3 linked regions of the Stegostoma tigrinum genome follow. The protein of the gene in region 1 purifies or fractionates together with the protein of each later gene. This does not show direct contact. Links are inferred from orthologs where the notes say so. Each region holds a gene or a part of one and is shown in the gene's direction. Other genes may lie near its edges.

What was found.
Region 2: the proteins of spast (region 1) and nup133 purify together in Homo sapiens (affinity purification with mass spectrometry; 3 studies listed by BioGRID and IntAct, counting the BioPlex papers as one, with this or other methods). This does not show direct contact. The link is inferred for Stegostoma tigrinum from reciprocal best matches to the Homo sapiens genes SPAST and NUP133.
Region 3: the proteins of spast (region 1) and nup98 purify together in Homo sapiens (affinity purification with mass spectrometry; 3 studies listed by BioGRID and IntAct, counting the BioPlex papers as one, with this or other methods). This does not show direct contact. The link is inferred for Stegostoma tigrinum from reciprocal best matches to the Homo sapiens genes SPAST and NUP98.

The regions. Positions count from the first base shown.
Region 1 is NC_081357.1:94,595,123-94,605,081, forward strand, and holds the start of spast (spastin), read left to right. Parts: upstream 1-4,020; 5' UTR 4,021-4,068; coding exon 4,069-4,390; intron 4,391-9,959. UniProt on the Homo sapiens protein: ATP-dependent microtubule severing protein that specifically recognizes and cuts microtubules that are polyglutamylated.
Region 2 is NC_081362.1:764,542-774,500, reverse strand, and holds the start of nup133 (nuclear pore complex protein Nup133), read left to right. Parts: upstream 1-3,865; 5' UTR 3,866-3,922; coding exon 3,923-4,083; intron 4,084-8,212; coding exon 8,213-8,331; intron 8,332-9,959. Other genes in the region: abcb10 (ATP-binding cassette sub-family B member 10, mitochondrial), read left to right, coding at 1-213. UniProt on the Homo sapiens protein: Involved in poly(A)+ RNA transport. Involved in nephrogenesis.
Region 3 is NC_081359.1:111,731,148-111,741,106, reverse strand, and holds the start of nup98 (nuclear pore complex protein Nup98-Nup96), read left to right. Parts: upstream 1-3,373; 5' UTR 3,374-3,627; intron 3,628-3,726; exon of another isoform or gene 3,727-4,001; intron 4,002-9,149; 5' UTR 9,150-9,177; coding exon 9,178-9,253; intron 9,254-9,959. UniProt on the Homo sapiens protein: Plays a role in the nuclear pore complex (NPC) assembly and/or maintenance. NUP98 and NUP96 are involved in the bidirectional transport across the NPC. May anchor NUP153 and TPR to the NPC.

The DNA.
Region 1 (9,959 bases):
GAATGTGTTGCCAGCAGCAGTTGTGGAAGCAAGGTCATTGGGGTCATTTAAGAGACTGCTGGACATGCATATGGTCTCAGAAATTTGAGGGTGCATACATGAGGATCAATGGTCGGCACAACATTGTGGGCTGAAGGGCCTGTTCTGTGCTGTACTGTTCTATGTTCTATGTTCTAATATTATGAAGCAAAATTTGCAAATGAATAACCTGCTCATTGTGCTCAATTTTGGTTGCACGAGGGCATCTCAGTTCTGAACTCCAAATCAGCCTGGGCTCAAATATTTCAAAGATCAAAATGCAAGTTTGAAAATTAGAAGGAAAAGTTGGAACGTGGAGGAAACCAGGCTAGCAGCTTTATAAAATCATGAGGTATATAGATAAATTGGATAGCAAAGGTTGTTTGCCTATGTTTAGGGAGCTCAAAACAAGACGGCATAATTTTAAGATGAGGGGAGAAACATTTGAAAGGAATCTTAAGGGCAGTTTTTTCACCCAGTGGGTGGTTTGTATGGGGAATGAACTTCCAGAGGAAATGGTAGATGCAGGTGCAGTTACAACATTCAAAAGACATTTGGATACGTACATGAGTTGGAACGGTTAAGAGGAATACGGGCCAAATGCAGATAAATGAGATTAGTTTTGTTTGGGAAATTTGGTTGGCATGGAAAAGTTGGACCGAAGGGTCTGTTTTCATGCTGTATGACTCTGACTCATGGACTATAAAGCATTTTGGAACAACTGGCTGCATGAAAAGCTACCATATGAATGAAAGTCACATATTTTCTTCTCAAATAATTCAGTATCTGTTTGCTGATATGCCACAGACTAATTCAACTGGAATTAAACATCTATCAGGAAATTCAGATAGGACTGAATGTTAGATATACCGCTGTTTATTTAGAGTGTGTGATTTTTCAGAATAAACACTAGATAAAACAATAAGCAACCATTATGTCAATTTGATTGAATTAAACTCAAACTTCAAAACTGAAATTGGTAGATTTTGTAATCCAAGGATTTTTGTAATTCATATATAGATATCCAGTGATGTATATATGATATGTATAGATATATTAATATTGATATTCAAGATAATCCAAGGGTTACACTACCAGTTAAGGACAGAGTATGATCTAATTGAATGGCAAACTGAGCTTGAGTCATTTACTTCTATTCCAATGTTCTTTCCTAAGGAAGAATAGCATGGAACAAGGCCATTTGGCCTATTGTGCACGTATCAGAATTGTTCCTTGCATTATAACATTAGTTGATGTTTACTTTACTCTAGAGAGTAATAAGGAACTCAGATGAGGACAAGCAGAAACATTACTTGGCTTTTCAGGCATCTGCTATAGACTCAACACTTCCAAAGCATTTTTGAAGATTAAAGTCCTTCCACTGGGTCTAATCATTTGATGATGTGTTAGTGCAAACAGAGAATGATAATTCTGGATATGTGTGAAACAATTACTATGCTTAGCTTAATGGTCAGGTAGGGCCAGTTAGTTCAGTTAATTAGAGCATGATGTTTAATAATAGCAGCTGTGTGGGTTCAGTCCCCCTACTAAGTAAGGCCTGCATTTTCTACTATCTCAGTCTCTGAGTCGTGATTACCAACTTTTGGACATTGCATGAACGGGTAGAGTAATATAGCTGTGCAATATCAACTCTGATCAGTGTGATGGTGTAACTGGAAAGTTGTAAATCTAATTAGTGTGTTGAATCAGAAAATGGCTGAATTTAATGTTACAAAAGTAATTTAGATTGTTTTTCATTTGATTTTCTAAATACTGGCCACCATACATGCAGCTATGGTAATATGGTCATATGCATTTGGTATTTGAAAGAAAAGGGAGTTTAAACTGTTAATTGTTTTAAAGATGCAAATGATTAAATTTGAGCTTAACGACACATGCGTTGCACCAAACTTGGAAACATTAGCAGAGAGAAAGGAACCCAGCAAACCCAAGAATTATTTTGCATGATAGCTGAGTGTCAAACCCAGGAACAGCAGCTTGATCAAATATTCATGATAGTCCTTGACTGACAACATAGTTATTATGAGTCTGCAGCAACAATTTCCAAAATTTGGTTTGCAACCCCCAGTGAGTGCCATGTTGGTTCCGGATATTTGCGCACTGTGTCAGTCTAGGCGAGGTCAACAGTGATTGTGTGAGTGTTAGAAAATCTAGGTCATACAGCTGAACTAGGAAGGCTTCAGGCTTTACTGTATGTCTGTTACTTTCAGCTTGATGTATAAGATCTTTACCCTGCAATAATGATACTGCTTTGCACATACTGGCAATCTGGCCAGAAGGGTGGACTGTGAGGGACGGAGTGGGTGGGGAAAGTTGGTCTGGTATTGTGGAGGGGCAGGAAGTAACACTGGTTATAGTTTGTCGGGGAGGATAGAGGGGCTGATTGCAATGTGTGGGCTGGGGAAGAGGGCTGTTCACAGTGTGGGGGCCAAAGAAGAGGGGCTGATTACAGTACATAGATTGTTAAGTGCAGCTGGTTACAGTGTGCCAGGATAGAGACAGGAATGTGAGGGGTGAGGAGAGGCCCTGATTACTATGTCTTAGGGTGGGGGAACTGTTTGGCGTTTTGCTGAGTGTTCTGTCATTGGGCCAAATGGAAAGCTTGTCTGCCCCCTCCCTAAGTATATGTGATATCAATTTAGAAAGTATTTTAAGGCATAGATATTTTTAATCAAATGGTAACTGGGGTAATACTCAAATTTTCATGATTATATACTGAATATTATTATGCCACTTCCTTTGCTGATGTTTGTGGTAATATTAATTTTCAAAAAAGGGAATTGTTTTGAAAAATAGTTTGGGAAATTCTGGTCTTCATTTTCAATTTGTGGGCACAAACAGCAGTCTGAAGCCAGCATAGAAACTAAGCTCCATGCATTGCTTTTCCATGTATGAAATGAACAGACTTGTTTGTAAATAACTCAAGGAGAAAGATCTTTCATGTTTTAATATATCAATGACAAAACTGTTTGGAAATACTTTATATTATGTTTTGCATGGGATATTGACTTGCTAACCTTTTGTTAAATACTGGACTCAAAGCATTGGCTCTATTTCTCTCTGCATAGATGCTGCCGAACCTGCTGAGTTAATCCAGCATTTTTTCTGTTTGTTTCAAATTTCCAGCATCCTCAGTATTTTGCTTTTATTTGTTATACGCTCGTTCTTAGCTTCAGTCCGTCCCTTAATGACAGAGCTTGTACATTGAATCTATTAATGCGCTTGTGGGTTGGTTGATTGATCCCTGATTTATTTGAGCAATAGGCAGGAAAAATAGTGCAAGGCCCAGTTCAGAAAATGAACAGTGAATCCTTGAGAATCCTACTTTTAGATGTTTAGCTAATTATATGACATATCTCTGGAGCAGGTGGATCTCGAGTATGGGCATTCTGGCCCAGAGGAAGACACCTACTGCCGTAGCACAGTGCTGAATTTGTAGAATATTTCTTCAATACACAGTATTAATTTCTGTGCACTGTATTTAGCACCACTAAGAAATATAAATGCACGTCTTTTTTTCCTTTTACTTAACCCTACTCATCTATTCACACACTCAGTGTTTCGTATTTCTTTCTCTTCATTCTGCTTCATGCTTACAATTCAGTTGCTACCTGATCTTCAGTTGCTCTTTACCGAGTTCATTGTTTGTTTTCCTGCGTCGTTCGTCCCATTTTCTCTCCAAACTGGTTTTTTGATTGGCTGATAATCTGTTATCATCTTCACTGCTGAAGAAGGGAGGATGTTTGGTCTGGACGCCCGTCCCATCTGTTTCTGCACAGAGCTGCCTTACCCACCAATGGTTTGTTTTGATTGACTGGGAGGCTGCAGCCCTGGACTCTGATTGGTTCGTTACCGCACAGAGAAATCTCGGAACTTCGTGATTCTATTGGATAACTAGTGAAATACCCACCTTCTGATTGGATGGAGGCCCGGCTGTTAGCGCAGCTGATTGGAGGGTGCCTGGACAATGCGGAGTGGTCGGGACGCCTGCGCTATGCCCGTGGGTGATGGCGGACAGAGGGCGGGTGGATGAATTCTCCGGGTGGCCGAGGCAGAAAGAAAAAGGGTCCGGCGCGAGTATCGCCCGACGGCACCAGCGACAGACTCTCCCTCCACAAGCGGAACCTTTACTACTTTGCGTATCCTCTGGTCGCCGTTTTCAGCTTCCTGCGCTTCTTGGCCTTCCACCTTTGGCTCTTTTTCGCCTACGTCTGCCAGCGCCTGGCCGCGATGGCATCGCGCAAGGCAGCCCCGGCCGTCACCACGGCCGAACCCGAGCAGATCCGCCAGTCCCACAAACTCGCATTCGACTACATCTCCACTGCTCTCAAAATCGACGAGGACGACAAAGGTAAGGAGGTTCTCTGTACTTAAAGCGGGCTGGTCGGAGGAAGGCTTTTGTTGGACAGTTGCAGGGGTTGTTGGGTCAGCGCCCTGCCCCTTTGATCCAGGTGAGAAACCAACGGGTAGTGTTTATTTCCAATGTTAGTGTGCATCACATTGTAAATATCTGGCATTGTAATGTTTTATAATAGATTCTGTACTAGAATATTAAATTTATGTGATTCATTATGACATTATAGTGCAGCAAGTATTATATTTATAGTTAACATTGTAAAGAGCTGTTATTGCGCTGTATCTCGTATTGTGCATATTACCATGTTTTGATGTTGTAGAGTTACGTGATACTTTTGGCAGTACATGGTAATGTATTTCTTGCTTTACTGTCATGATGTAGTACTATATTGTATGCCTCTGTCATGTGATGTTGCATGATAATGTGAATGCTTTACTATGTTACATGGTGTTGCTTTGAAACGTGCTTGCATTGATCTGTGTGCTACACGATGGTGTAAGCCTTACAGCATTACAGAGCAAGGCACCAAGCGAAAGCATGATGTGTACGACTGATCTCAAGGAAAGTGACCCTCAATGAGCCAGTGAGTTCTGAGCTGCCGACTTCCCTTTTTACAACGTCCAGCCAAAGTCCAAGAACAGCAAGCTGAGTAGCCAATCGGATTGGGGAAAAAATATCAAATCAAAGCCAAAAACAAAATGGTGGTTTGCTTTATAACAACAGTTTTGCCATAAATTAAATAAGATTAGAAGATACATGCAGGATTAACATAGATACTGAACAATCATATTAAAAGATATTTTGTAAACTTCTTGTAAAAAAAATCATGGTAAAAAGCAAATGACACTTCAAACTTCTAAAACTATTCTTTCGGTACTGAGTTTATGCAGCAATATTTATGACTTCAGTACAAGTTAGCAGCACAATGACATTTCCTGCAACAAGATTGTGATTTGACAGTTCAGAGGGCTTTACGGTAGAATGGTACCTGTAATGTACAGAAACTTGTCAGATGACAAAAGCGAAATTAGGATTCATTTCCAGTTTTCATTGTCTCATCATAGACTAGGGTAGAACAAAAGTGTCCAAACATCTGGAGCATGTTTGCCTAGCATTTCAAAGCAATGGAAGAAAATGAGGATGAGATGTTGAAAACCTGGAGTTTAAGTTGGCGGACTGAGAGAGTTTGTACACTACAGTTGCTGCTCTGTGGTAGAGATAATGGGAACTGCAGAAGCCGGAAATCCGAGATAACAAAGTGTGAAACTGGATGAACGCAGCAGGCTAAGGAGCATAAAAGCTTTTGACTTTCGGGTGTAGACCCATCAGGGGAGGGGGGAGAGGATTCTGAAATAAATGGGGAGAGGGGGAGGTGGACAGAGGAGAAGATGGTTGGAGAGGAGACAGACAAGTTAAAGGGGTGGGGATGGAGCCTGTAGAGGTGAGTACAGGTGGGAGGTAGGGAGGGGATAGGTCAGTCTGGGGAGGGTGGACAGATCAAGGGGCGGGATGAGGTTAGTAGGTAGGGAATGGAGGTGTGGCTTGAGGTGGGAAGTGGGGACAAGTGAGAGGAGAGGCGAGGACGAACTAGGCTAGTATTGGGATGCAGTGGGAGAAGGGGAGATTTTGAAGCTTGTGAAGTCCACATTGATACCGTTGGGCTGCAGGGTTCCCAAGCGGAATATGAGTTGCTGTTCCTGCAACCTTCAGGTGGCATCGTTGTGGCACTGCAGGAGGCGCATGTCGTCTGTGGAATGGGAGGGGGAGTTGAAACGGTCCGCGACTGGGAGATGCAGTTGTTTATTGCGAACCGAGCATAGGTGCTCTGCAAAGCGGTCCCTAAGCCTCCGCTTGGTTTCACCGATGTAAAGGAAGCCACAACAAGTACAGCGGATACAGGTGCATGTCTGCTTGATGTGGAAAGTCATCTTGGGGCCTGGGATGGGGCTGAGGGAGGAGGTGTAGGGGCAGGGGCAAGTGTAGCACTTCTGCGGTTGCAGGGGAAAGTGCTGGGTGTGGTGAGGTTGGTGGGGAGTGTGGAGTGGACAAGGGAGTCACGGAGACAGTGGTCCCTCCGGAAAGCAGACAATAATGGGGATGGAAAAATGTCTTTGGTGCTGCTGGTCTGAATTGTTCAGCACATTCAATTAGAAACTGCATGGAGTAAATTCTGCATTAAAATGGAGAGAGATAACTTCAAAAGACAGTAAGTTCTTGTTTAAAATTAATTGTGTGGCTTTAGGTGTAATATTGAGTTGGATTCTATAAAGTCTTCAGGAAAAAACATTAACATTATACTCTGCAGGTTGAAATACTTTACATTGCTAGACTTGTGCATTTGTAAATGAAATAACTTCTCATATTTTTCAAACTTTTTTCTTATCATACCTCCTGCTCGCTGCTAATCATGCTGCTCAAACCTCTTGGTCAGTGCTGTTTCTTCACTTACCTGAGCCTCTAATGCTCCCCATCGTGTCTAAGTTTCTTCAGAGACAGTAGGAATTGCAGATGCTGGAGAATCTGAGGTAACAAGGTGCGGAGCTGGATGAACACAAGTAGACCTGAAGGGTCGAGGCCCGAAACGTCAACCTTCCTGCTCTGTTGCTTGGCCTGCTGTGTTCATCCAGCTCTACACCTTGTTATCTGTGTAAATTCCTTTTTGAGTTCTACCTGACAATGGAGTTTTTTTTTCCTTAATGCTCCAGCATGTCTCTTCCCATTCCTGAACACTTTCTGTGCCTGTGGCTTCTAGAGATGAGTGGCTCTTACAAGAGATTGGAAGATCAGTTAAAATAAAACATGGATTATACTCGCTCCAACTTGGCACATCTGTACCACTGTGGCCTGCAATTTTGCTTTTGCCCTGAATTGAATCTAGTTTTTGAATAAAAAATTACATTCAGGAGACAGAAGCAGTGAGAGGTGGGGTCAGGAAGGAGAAAAGCCACAAATCCAGGGTTGTGCAAGGAGAGAGGCTGCACGTCAGTGGCTTGAGGAGAGAGCATCCTTTTGTTGAAGGATCGGACGTAGAGATTGACCCCATGTCACAGGTTTGGGGAGGGGGTACAGACCACGAGTTGCAGAGTTTGTGCCTAAGAAGCTACTCCATTTTGGAGCCAATTGGTGTCTCAATTCACTGTGACCTCGAATATCATGATACTCAGTAAACTTGTTGCCTCCATTAACCTAGCTTTATTTTGGTTCAGCATTGAAAAATGGGGCAACATTAAACAAGGAATTACTGTATTTATTAGATGTAAATGTCAGCATATCCTGAGGTTGTTTAAAACTGTTGCTGTTAAGGTGTTGACTTGTGCTCCAGCTGCAAAAATGGATAATGGAGCCTACTGACTCAGTGCCTCAGCTTTGTAACATTTGTTTTGTCACTCAGAGCAATGGTTTAAATGTCTCCACCTTGTAAGCTGGCAAAACCTAATGGAAGCTGGTAAAGTTTGAATTGAATTTTTTTTTGTCTCTGTGCAGCTCATGACATGATATAAATGGACAAGCACTGCATTGTAGTTATTGGGCAGAGCTTAATCCTTAACGAATGCCAGAAATGGATGACCTGCTCAATTTTCACATTTCTGTACATGGGATTCCATTGCGTAAGTTGGTGCTAAATTCCCAGCATTGCAGTAGTATCTGCGCTTCAAAAGTACTTGATTAGCTTCACAGTAATTTAGGATATCCTTAGTTTGTGTGAGGAGCTGTAGCAATCGATGCCCTCCTCTTGTCCATATCTTGCATGTTAATTACTGTAATTGGTTAGTTCTGCTCTTTCACTTACCAAAGATAATAATGAAATTGGTGTTAGTTTACCTACATTTTCTAACTGGTATAGTACCAGGGAATTTTGCCAGAACTTGGACTATGCAGCAGTTCGGTTTTATGTTGAACCCTATGCTTTCTGTTACAAGTTCTTTTGGTTTTTAAAATGTGGAATAACTGCAGATGCTGTAAATCAGGAACAAAAACAAACCTGTTGAAAAAGCTCAGCAGGTCTGGCAGCATCTGTGGAGGGAAAAACAGTTAACGTTTCAGGTCTGGTGACCCTTCCTCAGAACTTCCTTATTCCACATTTTTAGTTTATTTTATCAACCTGTTCAAACATGCTACGTTGTACACATCTGGAGCAGGTGGGGCTTGAAACAAAACGTTCTGGCCCAGAAATAAACCCATTATCACTGTGCCCCAAGAGTCCTCTTATTTGTGTTTATTATGAAAACATTTTTTGTAAATTTCAAATGTAACAACATTTTCCTGTCAGTGCCACGTTATTTTGAAAAATGCATTTAGAGCATGAGGCATTCACAAGTATTTTCTTATTTCAGTTGTCATAAGAATCTATAATAGCTTTGGGGAATCTTTTTACATGAAGATGAACGGATACTGAGGTAATAGCATGTTGCTTGCTTTGAGGAAAACTTGAATTATGTTTTTTTGGGAGCAATTGTCATATGGAAATATTTAAAATTGAGAGAATGGATAGGCTTGATGGCAGGTTATTTCAAATAGTTGAGAGAGTGATATATTTAGAAGGCAGGAATAATGTCTTCAGGCAGACTTAAGGCTTTGTGGTGGCCTTTTTAAAAAATGTATAATTGAGACAAGTTTTTAATGTTGAACAGTAGAACAAAGGAAAATATATTTTGAGGCATGTGGGGACAGCGTGTAGCTATGTTTTTAGATGATTTGCTTTTCAAAAGTAATGGCCTGGCAGCCCCAGATTACATCTGAGTGGACTTGTCTAGACTTTCCATGTCTCCAAGATCATAGACAGGTATGTGATTGGTGAGAGAATGCCAGATTTTGACTGCAGTGACAGTGAAGGAATCATGATTTATATTTCCAAGCCAGGATGGTGAGTAGCTTGGAGGGAGACTTGGTGTTTTGGTGATGTTCCCATATATCTGCTGTCTTTTTCCTTCCAGATGGAAGTGCTTATGAGTTTGGAAAGCTCTGTGTAAGTTTCTTTGAATTTCTGCAGTACATCTTGTCGATTATACATGCTGTTAGTGGAGTGACTGAATGTTGTGCCAATCAAGCAGGAGGCTTTGGCCTGTATGGTGTCAAGCTTTTTGGTGTCCTTGGAGTAGCACTTATCCAGGCAAATGGGAAGTTTTCCATCACTATTCAGACTTGTGCCTTGTAGATGGCAGGCTTTGGGGACTTGGGTGGTGAGGCATTCACTGTAACATTTGTAGCCTCTGACCTGCTGTTGTAGCCACTGTAGTTATATGGTGGATCCAGTTGAGTTTCTCCTCCTTTGATCACCCCCACGATGTTGATATTTCTGTTTCAATGATGGTAATGTCTTTGAATCTTGGAGTAGTGATTAAATTCTCTTATTCTTCCACTATCAGTCACACAGTAGCTACCAATGTACATCATCTGGAATCTATACTGCAGTAATGAGCCAGTACTCCTTCATAGCCCCTTATAAGTCGCACACCATTCTTATGTAGAAATATATTGTTACTTAATTATCCCAGATCCTTTGTTGCTGTTGACCATGGCTGAGGTAATTACCCATGGCCAAATATTATTATGGTATAAACTG
Region 2 (9,959 bases), on another chromosome or scaffold:
GACCGATTGATGGTAGGAAGGACTGTGCTGATCATTGCCCATCGTCTATCAACCATCCAGAATGCTGATGCTGTTGCAGTCCTTGACCAGGGCAGGATAGTTGAGTGTGGTACCCACCAGCAACTCCTCTCAAATTCAGATGGATTATTTCGCAAGCTTGTGGAGAAACAAACTATTTCACAAAACCACCAAAAACTTGTGTTGAAAGTATAATGCTCCCAAATGTTACTCCTCTTAGGAAAAAAAATACCTCCAGGTCAAAACAGCCGAGAAATGCCTTGGATTCTGACTAATCGCAGCACTGATTATTAAATAGGTTATGAAACTTGTAATTCTGAACAGTGTTCAGGATCTCAGCTGTAGCAATGAAGTAAATGGTGAAAGATATCAAATGTGAGCCACAGAATGAGGAAGCCTGCGTCACAATCTATACAGTTTCTCCATGGCCTTGTTGGACAAGTCTTCAGCGTGAGGTCTCATACAAGGAAAGGTTGACAGTGACTCTGGGAAAGATAAAAGCAGATTTTTAAATTGCCAAAGCTTCTCTTTGCCACAGTTTTAAAAACATTTTTAATCTATTTTGGGAACCATCTTTTAAGGACGGAGTAGTCTCACATTTGTTCTGTAACTTTCTGCAGATGGTACAAGGGATACTAAATTCCTTTGCGATAATGAAGTAAAACACTTGAAATAGTTGGTGAAACTCACCATTGTACAGACTGTATTTTGTGAAATGTTTGATTAATAGATGAAGTGTGATTGAACAATCAATCCTGAGTGGTTATAAATATGAATTTAATTGCTTCACAAAAGTTTGACCCTTGAGAATCTGTAGTATCAATTTTACAGTAAAATTAAAACAATCAATTTCTGACCTATTTTAAATTGAGTCTTTGTTTACTTCTCATAACAAAAGAAATTTGCTGGAAAACTTAGATGTGGCACCAGCTGTGGTGAGAGAGCATAGTGAACATTTCAGGTCCAGTGAAACTTCAGAAGTATAGTTTCCCATGCTGAAGACAACAGGGATGCAGCTTCTGAAACATGGCTCTGGTGAATGAGAATGGGAATCAGGTCGACTGAGCAAAGGACCAAAGAATTTACAGAAAAATTGGAGCCCAGCATCTTGAGAGCTTTCAGCTGAAATGAAGAAGTGAAATTAGGAAAAGCAGCATGACGATGTATTGTTAGCGACAGAAGATGAAAAAGCAGGAAAGAATCAGGTTGGAGAAGTACTAGACAGATTAACAACATCAGAAATTGAAAGGAGGGAGAAATAACAGTGTCATATGCAATGCTGCAAACATGTGGAAACTTACCTACTTGTGTCCTGTACCCACAAAGCAAGACAAATCCAACTTATTCGTCTACTTGCATCAGTGAAATGATCAAAGGTGTCATCAATTGTGCTTTCAAGCAGCATCTGTTGAGGACCACTTAGTTGAGTTCTGCCAGAGCCATTCTGCTCGTAACCTCATTTGGCCATATTTGAATCAAAGGCTATAAAGAGCTGAATTCCAGAGGAGTGATAAGAGTGACAGCCCTTGATATCAAGGCCACATTCAACCAAGTGTGGCATCAATTAAATTGAATAGAATTAAATTAGCCTTGTTGTCATATGTACTTAAAATGAACAGTAAAAAGTTTATAAATCACTACTTACAGCACCACCTTTAGATACAATCCTTAGTTATAGAGTAGAAAAAGAAAGAAAAAATGTTACATTACAGCTATACATAGTACGACCATGGTCAGAAAAATAAGAAACACCGTTAAAAAGACAAACATCACAGTCTCTCCACAGCATTCCAGTGCAGGGGGCTTCCACACTCCACACTGGGCCACTGGTCCCTGCTGTAGCCACTAGGAGCCCCAGGCAAACTGGAATCAATGCATGTTGGGGCCAAACTTTCCACTGACTGGAGTCATACTGGGCATGTAGAAAGGTGGTTGTGGTTGTTGAAGTTAAGTCATCTCAGCTTGAGGGTCCTCAGGGTAGTGTACTATATCCACCCATCTTCAGCTGGTTCAATAATCTTCTCCATCATAATGTCAGAAGTGGGGATGTTTGTTAATGTTTGTAGTATTAAGATACTGAAGCAGTCCATGTTCAAACACATCAAGAGCTGGCAAGTAACCTTTGTGCCAGGCAATAACCATCACCAGTAAGAGACAATCTAACCATCGTCACTTGACATTCCAACAGTATTACAATCACTAAATCTCTCACTATCAACATCCTGGGGGTCATTGATCAGAACCTCAACTGGACAAGCCACATAAACCCTGACTTGAAAGCCGGTCACAGGTAAAGAAAACAAAACCTGGAACTTAAAAACCTACTGATCGACATGAAATCATTGTCGAATGTTGGGGAAAAACCTGTCTGGTTTACTTATGTCCATTAGCAAAGAAAATCTGCCACCTCCTGATCTGGCCTACAGCAATGTGGTTGACTCTCAGTTGCCCTCTGAAATGGCTTACCAAGCCATTCTGTTGCACCATTCACTACAAAGTCTCAAAGAAACAAAACCAGACAGATCACCTAGCATCAATCTAGGCATCGGAAAAGACAACACCAGAGACAGCCCTGTTGACCCTGTAAAGTCCTCCTCACTAACATCTGGGGGTTAGTGCCAAAATTGGGAAAGCTGTCTCACAAACTAGTCAAGCAACAGCTTGACATTGTCTGTAAGATATGATTCTGTGAGTATGACTACATCCCGGATACCACCATCACCATCCCTGTATATGTCCTGTCTCATTGGCAGGGTAGACCCAGCAGAGGTGGGGGGCACAGTGGTATACAGGTGGGAGGGAGTAGCCCTGGGAGTCCTCAACCAGAGACACAGTTTAAAAATAAGAGGTAGGCCATTTAGAACAGAGTTGAGGAAAAACTTCACCCAGAGAGTGGTGGATATATGGAATGCTCTGCCGCAGAAGGCAGTGGAGGCCAAGTCTCTGGATACTTTCAAGAAAGAGATAGATAGAGCTCTTAAAGATAGTGGAATCAAGGGTTGTGGGGATAAGGCAGGAACAGGATACTGATTGTGGATGATCAGCAATGATCGTAATGAATGGTCTACTCCTGCACCTATTGTCTATAACAGTGACTGGTCCCCAAGAGGTGTCCTGGCTTTAGGTCAAACATGGGCAAGGAAACCTCCAGCTGATTACTCAGTAAGTCCATTAATATCTTCTCCAAGAGCTTACCTACCACTTACATCAGGCTCAGGGGCCTAATAATTCCTGGATTATCCCTGCTTCCTTTCTTAAACAAGGAGACAACATTGGCCAATGTCCGGTTTTCTCGCCATGGATGCTGTCTGACCCACTGTGATCTCCAGCATTTGTTGTTTACAGTTCAAGTGCCAGGATCTGCAGTAATTTGGTCCTATTTGTTATGCCATGGTCTGCTATTACACACTAGCCATTGATGGCAGTCAACAGAGCTATATATTCCCCTAGGCTGACTGTCTTCACCTTGGTCCGACCGCTCTCTCTCTCTCTCTCTCTGGGATAACAAGGGGCACAGCAGGTCAAACAGCATCACCGGCAGCTGTTGACCAATGGGAGCTTCCGTTACAACGGGTGTAAAGTTAGCACCAAGATAATAAAATGTGAGGCTGGATGAACTCTCTGATGAAGGGTCTAGGCCCGAAATGTCAGCTTTTGTGCTCCTGAGATGCTGCTTGGCCTGCTGTGTTCATCCAGCTTCACATTTTATTATCTTGGATTCTCCAGCATCTGCAGTTCCCATTATCTCTAAAGTTAGCACCAATCAGGAATGTGTTTATATCGTCCATGCCCCAATGTGACCAATCAGACTCTGCAGTGCCTGGCGGGTCACGCAGGCGCAGTGGTTTGGCGGCGAGTGCGGGAGGCCTGAGGCCTAAACGGCGGGGCCCGCGCTGTCTGCAGCATGTTTTCCCCGCGGGCTCCTGGTGGTGCCAAGCGGCCCCCCTCAAGTTGCTTTGGGTCGCCGCTGACCCGGAGCGGCGGCGGCTTTCCCGTGCAGGGCCGGCGCAGTGTGTCGGCCAGCGGCGTTTTCTCTCCGTCCTGGCGCTCCAGCCTGTGCGGCCGGTGAGTGTTGTCAGGGCTGCATTTGCCTGGCGCCTGTCACGTCCCTGGCACGGCAGGATCCCACAAAACACTGTGCGACACTAACCACCTTAATCAGGGGAGCGCGGTGCTGAAATGTTGTACAGGCTGAGTTATGGGGAAGTCTCTCGATGCTCCTGATGAGCACAGGTCTCACCAGCTTTGACTATCACCTGGTCACATCTGGACATGTTTTTAAATTCACCTCCTACCATAAAGTGAAGTGCAGTCAGGGGATGGGCGAAGGGGAGTCGCGGGGGCAGGCCTGTAATGAGGAAACCCCCAGGGCGTATCTCACACGCCAGCAGATTTTGTGCTAGAAAAGCATCAAAGTGATGCTACCCCTGCACAAGATAATAAAATGTGAGGCTGGATGAACACAGCAGGCCAAGCAGCATCTCAGGAGCACTGAGATGCTGCTTGGCCTGCTGTGTTCATCCAGCCTCACGTTTTATTATCTTGGAATCTCCAGCATCTGCAGTTCCCATTATCTCTACCCCTGCACAAGTCCAGGGCTGGGAGAACAGAAGGAAATGGGGCGGCACGGTGGCTCAGTGGTTAGCACTGCTGTATCACAGTGCCAGGGACCTGGGTTTGATTCCACCTTCGGGCAGCTGTCAGTGTGGAGTTTGCACGTTCTCTCCGTGTCTGCACCTCCGGGTGCTCCGGTTTCCTCCCACAATCCAAAGATGTGCAGGCTAGTTGGATTGGCCATGCTATATTGCCCATAGTGTTCAGGGATGTGGAGATTAGGGGGGTGGGTCAGTATGGACTTGTTGGGCCAAAAGGCCAGTTTTCACGCTAGGGATACTATGAAAGCAAGGGCAGTAGTGTTGAAGACTTAATAGAGAGCAATTTCTGTGGTTGTGACACTAGGATAGTGTGTCAGCTTCTTGAGGACAGGGTCAAGGATGTCACTGAACAGCTTCAGGGCCTTTAGGGGTGTACAATAAGGTTATGGTTCATAGATAACACTAATGCTGAGCTGCAGGAACACAGGAAGTCAGGCAGCATCAGAGGAGCAGGCCTTCTCTATCTCCACAGTGTGTTATCTCTGACTCCAGCATCGGCAGCTCTTTCTACTTCTGAGGTTGTGGTTCATATTGATGCCAGGGACATGGGTAGGAAGAAGGATGCAATCTTGCAACAATATTTTCAGGTAAAAGATGAGTGGGTAGAAGCAAGGTGGTAATGTTGCAGTATTGATCAAGGAGTCACTTTTTGAGGTTTTTTGTTCTTTTACAGAAGGATGATTTCTTAGTTCTTTAATTGAGGCCTTATGGGTAGAATTAAAAAACAGCAGCAATCATAAGAACTAGGAGCAGGAGTGGGCCATCTGGCCCCTCGAGCCTGCCCTGCCATTTAATAAGATCATGGCTGATCTTTTTGAGACTCAGCTCCACTTACCTGCCCACTCACCATAACCCTTAATTCCTTTACTGTCCAAAAATTTAGCTAGCCTTGCCTTAAAAACATTCAGCAAGGTAGCTTCAATCACCTGATGGAAGTGTACGAGAGGACCCTTTAATAATTAGGCAAAGGTAGAAGTAATTTCAGAGATGTGCAGAAATAATAGAGGTGATGATCATTGGGATTTCAACTTTTCCAATATTAAATATTTGAGTACAAGAGTCGGCAGGTCATGTTGCAGTTGTATAGGACTTTGGTTCGGCCACATTTGGAATACTGCGTACAGTTCTGGTTGCCACGTTACCAAAAGGATGTGGATGCTTTGGAGAGGTTCCAGAGGAGGTTCACCAGGATGTTGCCTCGTATGGAGGGTGCTAGCTATGAAGAGAGGTTGAGTAGATTAGGATTATTTTCATGAGAAAGACAGAGATTGAGGGGGGACCTGATTGAGGTCTACAAAATTATGAGAGGTATAGACAGGGTGGGTAGCAAGAAGCTTCCTCTCCCCCCCCCCCCCCCCCCCCCCCCAGAGTGGGGGACTCAATTACTAGGGGTCATGAGTTCAAAGTGAGAGGAGGAAAGTTTAAGGGCGAAAAGCGTGGAAAGCTCTTTACACAGAGGGCGGTGGGAGCCTGGAACGTGTTGCCAGCGGAGGTGGTAGACGCAGACACGTTAGCGTCTTTTAAGATATACTTGGACAGGTACATGGATGGGCAGGGAGCAAATGGACACAGACCGTTAGAAAATAGATGACGGGTTAGACAGAGGATCTTGATCGGCGCAGGTTTGGAGGGCCGAAGGGCCTGTTCCTGTGTTGTAATTTTCTTTGTTCTTTGTTCTAAATGGTGTAGACAGAGTAAGAAAGATTTAGACAGGGCAGACCCACGTGAGATGTATCCTGGGCTGCTGTGGGAGGCAAAGGGGAAATTGCTGAAGTCCTGACTTTAATTTTCAGTCCTGTCTGGCCACGGGAATGGTGCTAGAGGACTGGAGTACAGCTAATGTGGTACAGTGGAGTGGTAGGGATAAACCAGGGAACTGTAGGTCAGTGAGCCTAACATCAGTGGTGGGACAGAGTTAATCTTCATTTGGAGAAGCAAGGAGTAATCAAGGAAAGCCAGCATCGTTTTGTCAGGTTGTGCTGTAGGAGTTTTTGAAAGTATGGTGAATGGAACTCAGTATTGGAAAGTGTAACACAGACAGGTAATCCTGGCTTTAATAAATTGGTATGATCCACATTTAGGATAATGCAACTATTCAAAGGAGCATTTGGAACTGTTGAGAAAATAGAGATTACACAGTGTGAAGCTGAACGAGCACAGCAAGCCAGAAATGTCAGCTTTCCTGCTCCTCTGATGTTGCCTGGCCTGCTGCATTCCTCTTGCTCCACGCTGTGTTATCTCAGACTCCAGCATTGGCAGTTCTTACTATCTCTGAGAAAATAGAGCGTTTGGATAATGTGCAACATTTATTTAAATCATGCATATTCTTTGGAAGATGTGAAATGAGAGGTGATTCACTTACTTAATCTAGTTGTAAATGGACTAGGTAATGTTTGTGCTAGTGGCTAAATTCAAAGCTAACCTCTTTACCTTCAAAGAGTAAGTGATCAGTTTATTGTGATGAGGGTTTATGCTAGATCAATTTTTGGAAACTTGGGTTCTGAAGTGAACAGATCCAAATGTAGCTTTAAGTTTGACTTGTACTTTCAGGAACGGAGAAAACATGGTTTTAGTTACAGTTTAGATTTTGAGTTCTGAGAGAGGTGCTGGGTTATTGATTATTTGTTTACAAGTGTTTATTTTAGGCTGTTTAAATATCCCTTGTAGTGAATAGTCCGTTAGAACACAAAGGGAGAAGAAACTACTCTTGCATAGTGACAGGAGTTTGGTACCGCAGAAAGATGTTGACCTAGGCACCAGAAACAGCAATGGCAAACACAACCCTTTTGATCCATAAATTCTTCCTTACCACCATCAGGAGAGATGTATCAAAATTTGGAAAGTTGTTCTGTAGATTAAATAAGCAACAATCTGACATAGTTGTACTGATGGAATCATACCTTTCAGATACCACTACCACCAGGAGAGGGATTCAGTTTTCCTCCTCAGCATATGTTAGCCACAGAGTTATGATGTAAAGTGACTGGTTTATTCAAAAAAATGTTCAGGTGTCATGCAGATTAACAGCTTCAAGCACAGAATGTGGACTTTTGTTGACTTCATACATTTTCAAATACTTTGTATTGTTCACATGACAATTTGTTTCAATGTACTGGCAAAGTTGAATTCTATCATTCTGGCACCAGTATTGCAAACTTGGTTTTTCTTTAGAATTTGAATAACGTTATCTTAGTTTCGCAAATGAAATTTAGTTTCCTTTCTCACTCAATAGTTTGATATCTCTGTGTTTGACCTCTCTGGTATTCCCTAATCTCTGTTTATATTACAGTGAGATTACACAGATGCTGTTTACTATTGGACTCATCTGAAGTTTACTAGAAAAAAAAGTTAGCCGTTCTGAGCTCTGTGTTCCTTTGGCCCTGTGAAATTAGTATTTTTTTCTTGTAGAACATTTGCTATTGTTTCTGACTGATTTGCTAAATTTGAACGGTAAGAATATACTTAGGCCAAGTATGACTGCATTTGTTTCAAGTATAGTAATGGAGAACTTTGACTGGAATTATTTTTTCTTCCTCAAGTCCAACTCCAACCAGAGGAGCACAGTATCAAACAGTTGGCGAGACGCTCAACTATGAAATCAGGAGTTTTGGATCTTCTCTTCCTGTTAAGGTTATGGAGGCCATAACCCTAGCTGAAGGTAACTTTGTTTTATTATGGTGTATAAATAATTGATTTTGGAGCTTTTGAATCACTAAGTGTAATGTTTCCTGTACTCACTGAGGCAGTAAAGTTTGCTTTTCACCTTAAGTGTAAAAAGTTTAAATTTTGTTTTATTACTTTTGAAGTGTTTACAGGAATACTGGACTATCCACTGAACTCCTGCAAAGTTTCACAGGCAAAATAACATCTGCAGTATTTCTGCCTTTAGAATTGTTTGTCAGGGACAGGCTAGGTACAGAAACAATGTCATCCTTTTAGTGACATGTAAGCATCAATCGTCATCCCAAGTAATGAGGTGGAACACAGCAGGGACTCTAGGCAGAACACTGTAGTGAATAGTAATTGTGAAGCAGTGGTCATGGTAAGTGCACTCATTAACCCGACAACTTGCGAGGTGTCATGGCGATGGAACTGATCTGTTATTCCAGTGGAATCCACTGGCTGAGCGCAGCAACAGTGACAGTAGTTTAGCCCTTTGCACTGATTTAATAGAAGGTTTGGTCCATACACTGCAAGTATTTGTGCTTCATAAATGGATATTTACTGAGAAGGGGGTCAGTTAGTTCACTTGGCTGTTTGGCTGATCTGTGAAATGGAATGATGCTAACAGTTTGAGTTCCATTCCCACATCGGCTGAGATTACTATGAAGGATTTTGGCCCTGAGGTTGAACCACTATCAGACATCTCTGTGTAACAAGAGAGCAGCCCTATCTTCTGACTGACTGTGATGACCTTTATCCCTTTATTTACCAAGGCTGAAGGAGGCTCTAGGCATAATTATGATGTGACAGGAGCACCAGAGCCAGTCCTTAAGATGCTGCTGCTGGATATTTCAAGTAGAAGTCATCAAGGACTTGGAGACTAGGCTGATGACAGGAGCTTCCCGAAAAGGATGTGCAGGTTAAAAGGGTCAGATTTAAATTGCAATGTGGTGACAGCACAGTGGATTATGTTATTGAACTCCAATCGTTAGCTTTCAAGAATCCAGAACAGGTGAGCTGACCGGTGCCTGTTGACCCATATCCCAACAAATGGCCATCTGTCCCTCTCCAGCTGTTGCAGTTGACCTTGGAGTGCATTGGAGCCAGTCCAGAGAAGGTTTACCAGGTTGACCCCTGCATGGAAGGGCAGCCTTATGAGGAGACGTCACATGTGTTAGGCCTTTACTCAGTTTAAAGGAATGAGCGGCAACCTCATTGACAAGTACCCTTAGTATCTTGTTTCAGTGAGGTTGCCGCACATTCTTCTAAACTGAGTAAAGGCCTAACACGTGACGTCTCCTCATAAGGCTGCCCTTCCATACAGGGGTCAACCTGGTAAACCTCCTCTGGGCTGGCTCCAATGCCAGCGCTCCAAGTACAACTTTCCTTGGGTGTTGGAGTGCCTTGTACAGTTTTAGCAAGTCATCCCGATTTTCATACTGCATTCCAGTTTAAATGTTTAAAACTCTTTTTGAAACCATTATAAGTTTGTTGTTTCATTTATTCATTTTATTTTCACTTCTTTTGTTAATATTCTGTTTTATTGTTTGTGAAACCTGCCACATTGTGTATTAATGTTTCAGTGAGAGACCACTTTATAAAATTAAAGCTTAAAATATGATC
Region 3 (9,959 bases), on another chromosome or scaffold:
CTAAAATTCAGTACCATGTGATAGAGGTTCTCCAAATGAACAATGTGAAAATATTGGTTTTGCTCCCCACTATAAACTCTGGTCACTGGCTTCCAAATCCATTCCTGGCCCTTACACCGGACTGAGACTGAAACGTACCAGTTTAAACCTTAGTCTCGCATTCAATCCCATGATGACTTTTCAACCAAATTATCACATCACCCAGGTCCCTAATATTGCCTGGATTCATCCCTATCTCCACACATCTGCTTCTGGAACCTTCATTTATGCTCAAGCTCTGATTACTCTAATGCTCCTCTTGCAGGATTCCCACTTCCTATCCTCAGTAATTTGCAATAACAAAAAGGTAGAAACTTGTGGCAAACCCTATTCACCCTCTGCTCCTGTGTTCCTTGATCCATGTTGGTTGCTTCGATTACAGGGTTCTTTAACTGGTGTTTAACTCTTTCCGTGGCTTTGCCTCCTCCCTATCTCTGTCATCTCCTTCAATCCCACAACTCTCTGAAATCTGTTTGTGTAATTCTGGCTTCTTAAATGTCCCTGATTTTAAGCACTCGACCACAGGCACTGGCAATGATGTCTTCATCTGTTTGGGCCCTCTGCATCACTTGCTCTCTTTCTTTGAATGAGGCAGGTCTTGATGTTTCTGTATGTCCTTCTGCACGTGCTTCAAAGCCTAAATAAGTACAAGATGATGCACAAAATTTTATTGGAGCATGGAGAAAGAGAGACAGAGAAAACTCAGGAGAGAATTCCAGAGTGCAGAGCCCACATTGCTGAAGGCCACCAATGGAGTCATAGAGCTGTACAGCATGGAAACAGGCCCTTCGGTCCAACTCATTCACGCTGACCAGACACCCCCATCTGACCTAGTCCCATTTGCCAGCATTTGGTCCACATCCCTCTATTCACATACACATCCAAATGCCTTTTGAATGTTGTAATTGTACCAGCCGCCACCACTTCCTCTGGCAGCTGAATCCATGCACACACCACCCTCTGTGTGTGAAAAAGTAGCCAAGATAACAAGATGTAGAGCTGAATGAACACAGCAGGCCAAGCAGCATCAGAGGTGCAGGAAGGCTGACGTTCCGGGCCTAGACCCTTCGATACCCAAAACGTCAGCCTTCCTGCTCCTATGATGCTGCTTGCCTGCTGTGTTCATTAGCTCTGCACCTTGTTATCTAACATCCTTATAAATCTTTTTCTGAACCCTTTCAAGTTTCACAACATCCTTCCTAAAGCAGGGAGACCAGAAATGAATGCAGTATTCCGAAGGCAGGCTAGCCAATGTCCTATACTTCAGCAACATGACCTCCCAAATCCTATACTCAATACACTGATCAATAAAGGAAAGCATACCAAACACCTTCTTCACTATCCTATCTACCTGTGTCTCCACTTTCAAAGAACTATAAACTTGCATTCTAAGATCTCTTTGTTCAGCAACACTCAGGCAGGATTGATGAAAATTGGGGATATCACAACAGGCCAGAATTGGGATGGCATGGATATGCCAGAGGGTTGCGGGCCAGTCAGAAATTAGAGAGACAGGGAAGTGTGCGTCCGCGGAGGTATTTTGAAATAATCTTGAGAAGTTTAAAAATCAAGATGTTGTAGCATACAAAATCTAATCTGATCAGTGGCCTGCTCAGCCATTTCAGAGGACGGTTAAGAGTCAACATCTTGCTGTGGGTTGGTAAGTCACATCTAGTTCAGACCAGGAAAGAATGGCAGTCCCCTTCTCTAAAGGACATTGATGAACCAGACAGAATTTCCTAAATCCACACCAGTTTTATTCCAAATACTTTATTGAAGTTAAGTCCCACCATCAGCCATACACATTCCGTTCAAATCTGGATCCCCAGAATATTACTGGGATCTCTGGATCATAAGGCTATTGCCCTGTCCTACGGAAAAAGAATTAAATCAAGTTTTTTAAAAAATTCTTTCATAGGATAAGGACATCACTGGCCAGGCAGCATTTATTGTCCATCCTTAATTACCCTGAGGGCAGTTAAGAGTCAACCACATTGCCGAGGGTCAGGAGTCACATGTAGGCCAGACCAGGTAAGGATGGCAGTGTCCTTCCCTAAAGGGCATTAGTGAGCCAGATAGGTTTTTCCTGACAATCAACAATGGATTCATAATTCCAGATATTCTATTGAATTCGAGTTCCAACATCTGCCATGGTGGGATTTGAACTCAGATCCCAGAATGTTATCCAGGTCTCTGGATTAACAGTCCAGTGATAATACCACTAGGCCATTGCGTCCCCAGTGAGTGCCTCAGTGGTATAGCACTACTGCCTTAAGCACTAGGGACCTGGGTTCAATTCCAGCCTCAGCTGATTGCCTGCATGGGTTTCCACCCACAATCCAAAAAAATGAGTAGATTAGGTGCATTGGCCATGTTAAAATGCCCACAACGTCCAGGAATGTGTGGGTTTGGCAGAGTAGCTGTGGGAAATGGAAGTGCAGGGTTACAGGGATAAGGTAAGAGGGAGATAACAAAGTATGAAGCTGGATGAACACAGCAGGCCAAGCAGCATCTCAGAGCACAAAAGCTGACATTTCGGGCCGAGACCGCTTTTGTGCTCCTGAGATGCTGTGCTCATCCAGCTCCACACTTCGTTATCTTGGATTCTCCAGCATCTGCAGTTCCCATTATTTCGGGTAAGAGGGAGAGTCTGGTTGGGATGCTCGTCTGGGCTGGTTTGGACTCGTTGGGCCAAATGGCACGTTCCCACAGGGATTATACAAAAATTTGATGTTGAATCTAATAAACTCTCCAGAGGCTGCCAGGCCTGTTTCCTCTAGGGTTTCTTCTGGGGGCATACAACAACCATTAACTATTTCATGGTCATCATCATGGAGATTAGTTTTACATTCTACATTTTATTGTTCAAATTTACATGTCGCCAGCCACTATGATGAGATTTGGCAGACATCTCCAGAAACAGTTGCCGAGGCCTCTGGCTGATCCTTCATCAGAGGGTGTAGGCCTTAAATGTCAACCTTCCTGCTCCTCTGATGCTGCTTGGCCTGTGTTCATCCAGCCCCACACCTTGTTATCTCAGATTCTCCAGCATCTGCAGTTCCCACTATCGCAGCGACCATCCAGTTGAGGCGCAAAAGGAACCTGCAGGACTGAAGGGCCTCCTCACCTCCTATGGACCATTTGGAGGAATTGCCCTTTTAAGAGGCGGGCCGCAGCGGGTAACAACAGCAGCAGCGCTGTAACAGGCAGGATTGTTTGAATACACCAATCACGCACCGTCATAGGGGCGAGCCCAAGTCGCACAGCCAATCGGAACGGCGGATGCGGCTGATTGACGTGAGGGACTGCGGGGAACACCGGACCGGGAAAGAGGGTCAAGTGGGGACCGACGCCGCTATGTTTTACTACTGACCCCGCCTGGAGTGACAGTTGATCGCAGGTTTATGTGCGTATGGGAAACAGGCTGAACCGAGATGGTAACCGAGCTCCCGAAACTGTTGCCGGCGGGAGAAGCAAGAAAGGCAAAGGCCCGAGAATTCGCGGCTTTCGCCTTCATGACCTGCAGCTAGAGCGAATGGCCCCAGAACACTCCGTCTAAGGCCCACGTTGCCCAGTCCTGAATGACATGTAAGGCGACCAATGGGATTGTCAAGATTGTGGGTGGGCGGGGCTTCCGGTCGAGAAAATGACCAATGGAATGTGAGGGCGCTGCCTTTTCGGGAGCCTTTGCGTCTATTAGCCAATGTTGTTGCGAATCAAGTTTGACTGACAGTCAAATAATCCAATCGACGAACACCTTTCCAGACGGATGTTAAGACTGGCCAATCAGTGCGCGCAGCGTGGGCGTGTCCCGTAGATGTCACGTGGGAGAAGTAGGCGGTGCCTGGCCTAGGCGTGTGGTCGAACCTCAGCCGCCTCGGGGGCTACTTGAAGTGTGTAACCGGGACGGAGCGGATGAAGTGACTGACTATAGGGAAGGCTATCCGAGCTGGCAGTGGGCGGTGAGTGAGGCCTGAGCAGAGATAGGCTTGGATCCCGGTGATTGGGGGTGGGTGGATTAACCAGCCTGGGCCTTGACGGGGTTCGGGGTATGGGAAAGGTCAGCTCCAGCAATCAGGCGCTGTAGCTGCGGGGACCCTCCCGACGAGCCGGCCCCCACTTTCCGGGGGGGGGAGGGTCAGGCAGGTTTCCCGACACGGTTTCACAGACACATGGCGGGGGGGGTCTGATTGGACTGTTTTCCCCTTGTATCCGGGTCAAGAATGAAGGGGATAGGCCGAACGGCCTCCTGCGCCGCAGTATTTCGGCTTATTGGTCTATTAAGTGTGTGTTGATAGTAAGGAAAAGTTAACTAGGCCAGGCTTCTTTAGAGGCCAAAAGGCAAACTGAAAAATAGTAAAATACTGACTGATCTTGACAGGGCGGGTTTAGAGAAACAAACTCCCAGACAAGCTCAACGGCTCTGACTGTTTCTCACTCCAGGTACTGAGTTATCATTTCAGGTCCAGGAACAAGCTGCCCCATGTAGTGAATCTGTAGCTGCAAAGGCGTCAGAGTATGTTATAAAGGATATGGAGCATGCTAATATGATCAGGCAGAGTCAGCATGGCCTCATGTCACAGATTTATTTCAGTTTTTTGATATAACAAGAGACTGGATATTTGCTCATCCAAAATGCGCTCATTCCAGAACTACACAGACTACTTAATGGTGTGGGCATGGATATGTTTGTATGTTATGTTTTCTTGGGTCGAGGACTGGCTAGCTAATAGCTAGAGTTTGAGTAGAGGGTTTGTTTTCAGGATGACTGCCTGTAACTAGTAGTGTGTGCAGGGATTAGTTCTGGAGCTACGGTTATTTACTGTCTGTATTAATGAAGCTGAATGTACTGTAGCCACCTTTGTGGATAGCATTAAAAACAGGTGAAAAAGCAAGCAGTGAGTGTGAGAGAGATTAGGGGGATATAGACAGTTAAATGAATGGCTGGAAAAACTCAGTAGATGGGTATAACATCGCAAAATGTGAGGTTATGTACTTTGGCGGGAAGAGTAGAAGAGATGAATATTATTTTAATGGAGAAAGACTGTGGAAAGCTGCAACTCCAAGGGGTAGGGGGCTCTTTTGTGCATGAATCACAAAAAGCTAGCATTGAAGTTCAGTGTGTAATGGGGAAGGCAAAGGGAATAAAATATAAGCTTAGTGTCATCTTGCTGAAATTGGACAAGGTGTTGATCAGACCACAGCTGAAAACTGTGAAGAGTTTTGATCCCCTTATCTAAGGGAAGATATACTGACATTGGATGCATTCCAGAGAAAGTACCTCAGTGGTTAATGGAATTTGGAGTAGAGTTTTTTCTAAATTTAACTTGTCTCTGATTAGAAAAATGTTATTACACACTTCTGAAATAGGTGAGACTTGAACAGGCCACTTATCCCAGGAATAGGGATGTTACCACTCCACTCTGCTACAACAGCCCCTTTTTGGAGCAGAGTTGAATTTTGAGATATATGCAGAACACTTGTTTATACACAATACCAACATGAGGGGCTGAATGACCTCTTTCCCTCATTGTAACCTCCTTGAGTAGAGCTGTTGTATTCACCTGAAACCATTGTCCTGTGAAAATATTGGTCAGTTTAAGTAAGATTAGCAGGTAACTTACGCATAGCTGCTTTGCTTCCGGAATGAGAATTCTGGGGAGATATACAAGTTAGAATACGGCTGCCAGTGACAGTTTGTAAATATGCTCTTCCCATTTGTGGTTGTTCTTTTTTAGTTGTTAGCTGGAATCCTTCTGTCCTCACTAAAAGCTGAGTTCAGCGTTTATGATGAGTATCTCCAGCTAACCAACATGAAGATTTGAAATCATTGCCTTTAGTCCCTGCTGCAAATTCCACTTACACATCATGACTGTGTTTCACTCCTGGTCTATGCTGATACTGAACCAGTCTGTTGGATCAAATATGACATTAGTTTTGCCAAAGACTCTTATTGTTAACCTGAAGGCTGCCTGTTTCCATCCTGTAGCTTAACCTATCTTCTTCCCATCTACAGTTTGTCTCCTGCTGCACCCCTCGTTTGTGACTCTTTTTGACCTCTAGATCTGACTGTTTTAATGCAGTTTCACCTTCTACCCTCAAGAAGACTCTGCTGTTTCTAGTATGATTCGTGGGCAGTTCAGCCCCGTCTTTATTCTTGCTCACCTAAATTGGCTCCTGCTTCCAGCAGTAGTTTGATTTTTTTTTCTCCTCTCCCCTTTAAATCCTTCCATGGCCTCATCCCTCTGATATCTATAACCACCTCCAGCCCTGCTGCTTTTCAGGACTTCTCCATTTCCCTAGAATTTAATTATGTTTGTGAGCATCATCTAGTCAAGTTTTTATTACCCATCCCTAATTGCCTTTGAGAAGCTGATTTATTAGTTGCCTGTTTGAACTGCTGCAGTCCATGTGGTGTGCACTGTGCTGATAGAGGATTTCAAGATTTTAACTGTAACAGTGAATGAATGGTATATTTGCAAGTCAGGATGGGGATGGCCTGGAGAGGATTTCCAGGTGATGGTGTCCTTTTCAGTGGTGGAGTTCTGGGATTTGGAGACTCTTTTAAATTAACCTGTTCAGAGATGTTATTACACAATTCTATAGTAGGTGGTACTTGAACCTACTCGAATCAGAGGTAGAACACTACCACAGTGACCACCCCCTCTCTGTAAAGGAGACACCCAAAAAGTTTTGGTGAGTTAATGAGGTACACCTTGTAGATTGAAGTCACACAGCTACTGCTGCACGTGAACGGAGGAAGTGCTGGATGGTGTTGAGTGAAGCTGAGGTCGGACAGGTTTTGCTGCCATGTTGGCTTTCTCTCACCATCTGCCGTAGACACAGTCTGAAAGGTATGCCTTCAGGACCCAACCTGCTTGGTTAGCAGTGGTACTGAAAGCCTTTAAGGATAGGTGTTAGAATTCCACATCTCGAGTACATCTCCATCTTCAGTGTACCCTCCAGTTGAACTGGTGTGGTACGATTCATCAGCTAATGGGGATAGTCAGCAACAATACCATGTAACTTTGCGGGGTCTGGAGCTGATGCTAAGGACTGTCCGGTCTACTCGCCCCTGTATCTGTTGCCTTTGAGTCTGACAATACTCTAGGATGGTGATGGAGGTGTTTGGGGCATGGCCTTTTTTTAGTCATCCATGGGATATGGATCTTGTTGGTTAGGCTAGTGTTTATTGCCCATCCCTGATTCACCAGTGAACCATATTGCTGCAGGTCTGGGGGCACGTAGGCCAGACCAGATAAGGTCACAAATTTTTCCCTAAAAGAATATTAGTAAACAAGATTAATATGTGATTATTTCACTTTGTTTGGCTTTATTGATCGACTTCAAATTCCACCAGCTACTGTGATGGAGTTTGAACTCATGTCCTCAGAATGTTAGAGATAATGGGAACTGCAGTCTAGACCCGAAACGTCAGCTTTTGTGCCCCTAGGATGCTGCTTGGCAATCTGTGCTCATCCAGCTACACAGTTTGTTTCCTTGGAATGTTAGTCTGGACCTCTGCATTAGTTGCCTAGTAATGTAACCATGGCAGTACCATTTTCAGAGCCATGTGCTATGTCCTGATTTTCATCACTTCATCATTCCACCACTGGTATCTGTGTTTGAGCTCTGAAAGTCCTTCCCTAAACCTCCAGGTCCTCTACCTCTACTCCAAGCATAGTCTGGCAGAAATACTGTGCGTTTGTAAAAATGTTTCTTTATTCCAGTCCCCTTGCAGTGAAGGCTGATGTGTTCTTTGTCATCCTGATTGCTTGCTGTGTCTGTGTGCTAACTTCTAAATTGCTTACAAGAGTATGCACAAATCCCTCTGAACATTGACATTTACAATTTCATGCTTTTGAAAAATAATGCTACTTCTGTATTCTTGCAACCAAATTGAGTAACCTGTAGTATCTCTCAGTATGCCACTTGGTTACTTACTCATTCAACTTTTTGTATCTCTTTGCAGCTTTCATTTCCAACTAGCTTCATGTTGTCAGCTAACTTGTATACTTTACTTCCTGTCTGTAAGCCATTAGCATGGTGTAAAGGTTTGTAGTATGAATTTAATTTGGAACTTAGATTCTACAGTGGAGGTAAAATGTTTTTGTTTTCACTTCTGTGTAGGTGCGACTTTTTTATGATCAGAAATTTTTTTTCAGCATTATGTCAAAACAGCCCTTGCAAGAAATTGTACAGATAAAATTGTGTCCTAGCAAACCTCCTGGTGAGATAATTACTGAAATCTTTACTGATTTAAGATTTTGCATCCCAGACAGAGACGGACTGAGAAGGGCCACAAGCAAATCCCATTCGGAGTGTCAATTTGTAGCAGTGGGAGGTCTGCTTAGTTTGCCAAGTCAACTAAACAGCCTGTGTGGACAGGATTGGGAGAAGCCCCAAGTAATTATTCTTTACTCAGTGAGTTAGTGTCAGTGTGTCTTGGACAGAGATTGAGAGAATTGCATCTCGTGAATGTGTGGAAATTTTCCAGTGAAGGTATAATTGATACTTCACCTGAATTGCATTTACGTAAAGGATATAATTGCACTCAGGGTTAAAACTTTCATTTTGGTGTTTGTGGTCACCTCTTTCCAAACTGTCTATACAGCATTGGTTTTCTTTTCTTCACGTTCTTTTTTATTAAAAATATGTTGGTAATTTTTTTGTGGATATGTAAATAGCTATGGCTGCAGAATTGATCTTTGCAGCATCCCACAGCCTGCCACCTTGGAAATACCCACTCACTGGTATACCCTGCTGCCTGTCCCCCCTCCATGCTAATAGTGGTCACACAACTCCCACCCAAAAAAATTTCATGAGTCCTTATTTATTTATTTTTGGTCCGACACTTTGTATGTTCAAGGAGTTACAGCACTTTAATTTACCCCCTTTTTAGACATCCTCTCATCACCTTCAGATTTGAGCTTCAGAAACAGCCCAGATTTGGAGAGGATGAATTCTGCTGGTTGGAGTTTTCCATGAAGCAGAAGGAGAGTCAGTCAGTATCTTGCATATGCTCGTACGCTGGCATCCTTTGATGTTTTAGGAGTTTCTGTTAAACCCTAGGTGACTGATTTTTTTGCTCGGTCTGTTTCTCTTCACAGTTGCCTGTGATCTTAGTAATCTGGTAAGATGTTTAATAAGTCGCAGTTTGGCACTCCCACCTTCGGCAACACCAGCGGATTCACCACCTCAGCATTTGGACAAAGTAAGTTGGCTTTTTCTGCACTTTGTATTTTGGGAGGCAGAGAAGTTGAGCGTTGCTTGGTCAGTGACCATCACCACCAAAACCAGCCCCAACAGCATTCATATGCCTGCTAGTATGAGATTGAAGTGACGATTTAGAGTATATTGAGTAAGGGGCAGCAGGTTTCTCACCCTTTTTAAAAAAAAAGTCCCACTGAATGACACAAATCTGACTATGAATCAGTGAGACGGATAGCAGCGTTCCTTGTCAGCTATGCTCCCACAAGGCTATGCAGCAACCTGAAAGCCACTACATAGACCTGTTGGGCTGTTCTTCCCGAGATACTTTATGCGTGTGCTGCAATTTGGAATATTAACTCTGCTCTCTGAACTGAACAGGCAGAATACAGCAAGAGGAATATAGCTAGCTACACTTCCAGTGACTGTCTCAGTCCTCAGTAACTTAGCAGCAATGGCACCTAGTCCCTAGAAATAATCTGTAAGCAAAACCCTGTATGTTATGACTCGTGCATTCTGTCATGGCATGTGATCTACACAGGAACTCTTTCGAGAAGGTCTCTGAGATGTGATTACACATTATGACTGTTGATAGCTATCTATAAATTTGAGTAGTGAGCCTATAATACTTCTAGCAGTTACTGTCTTTATCCATTATTTAAATTATCCAAGACATCACAGTTGCCCTACTAATCCGTAAAATCATGCTA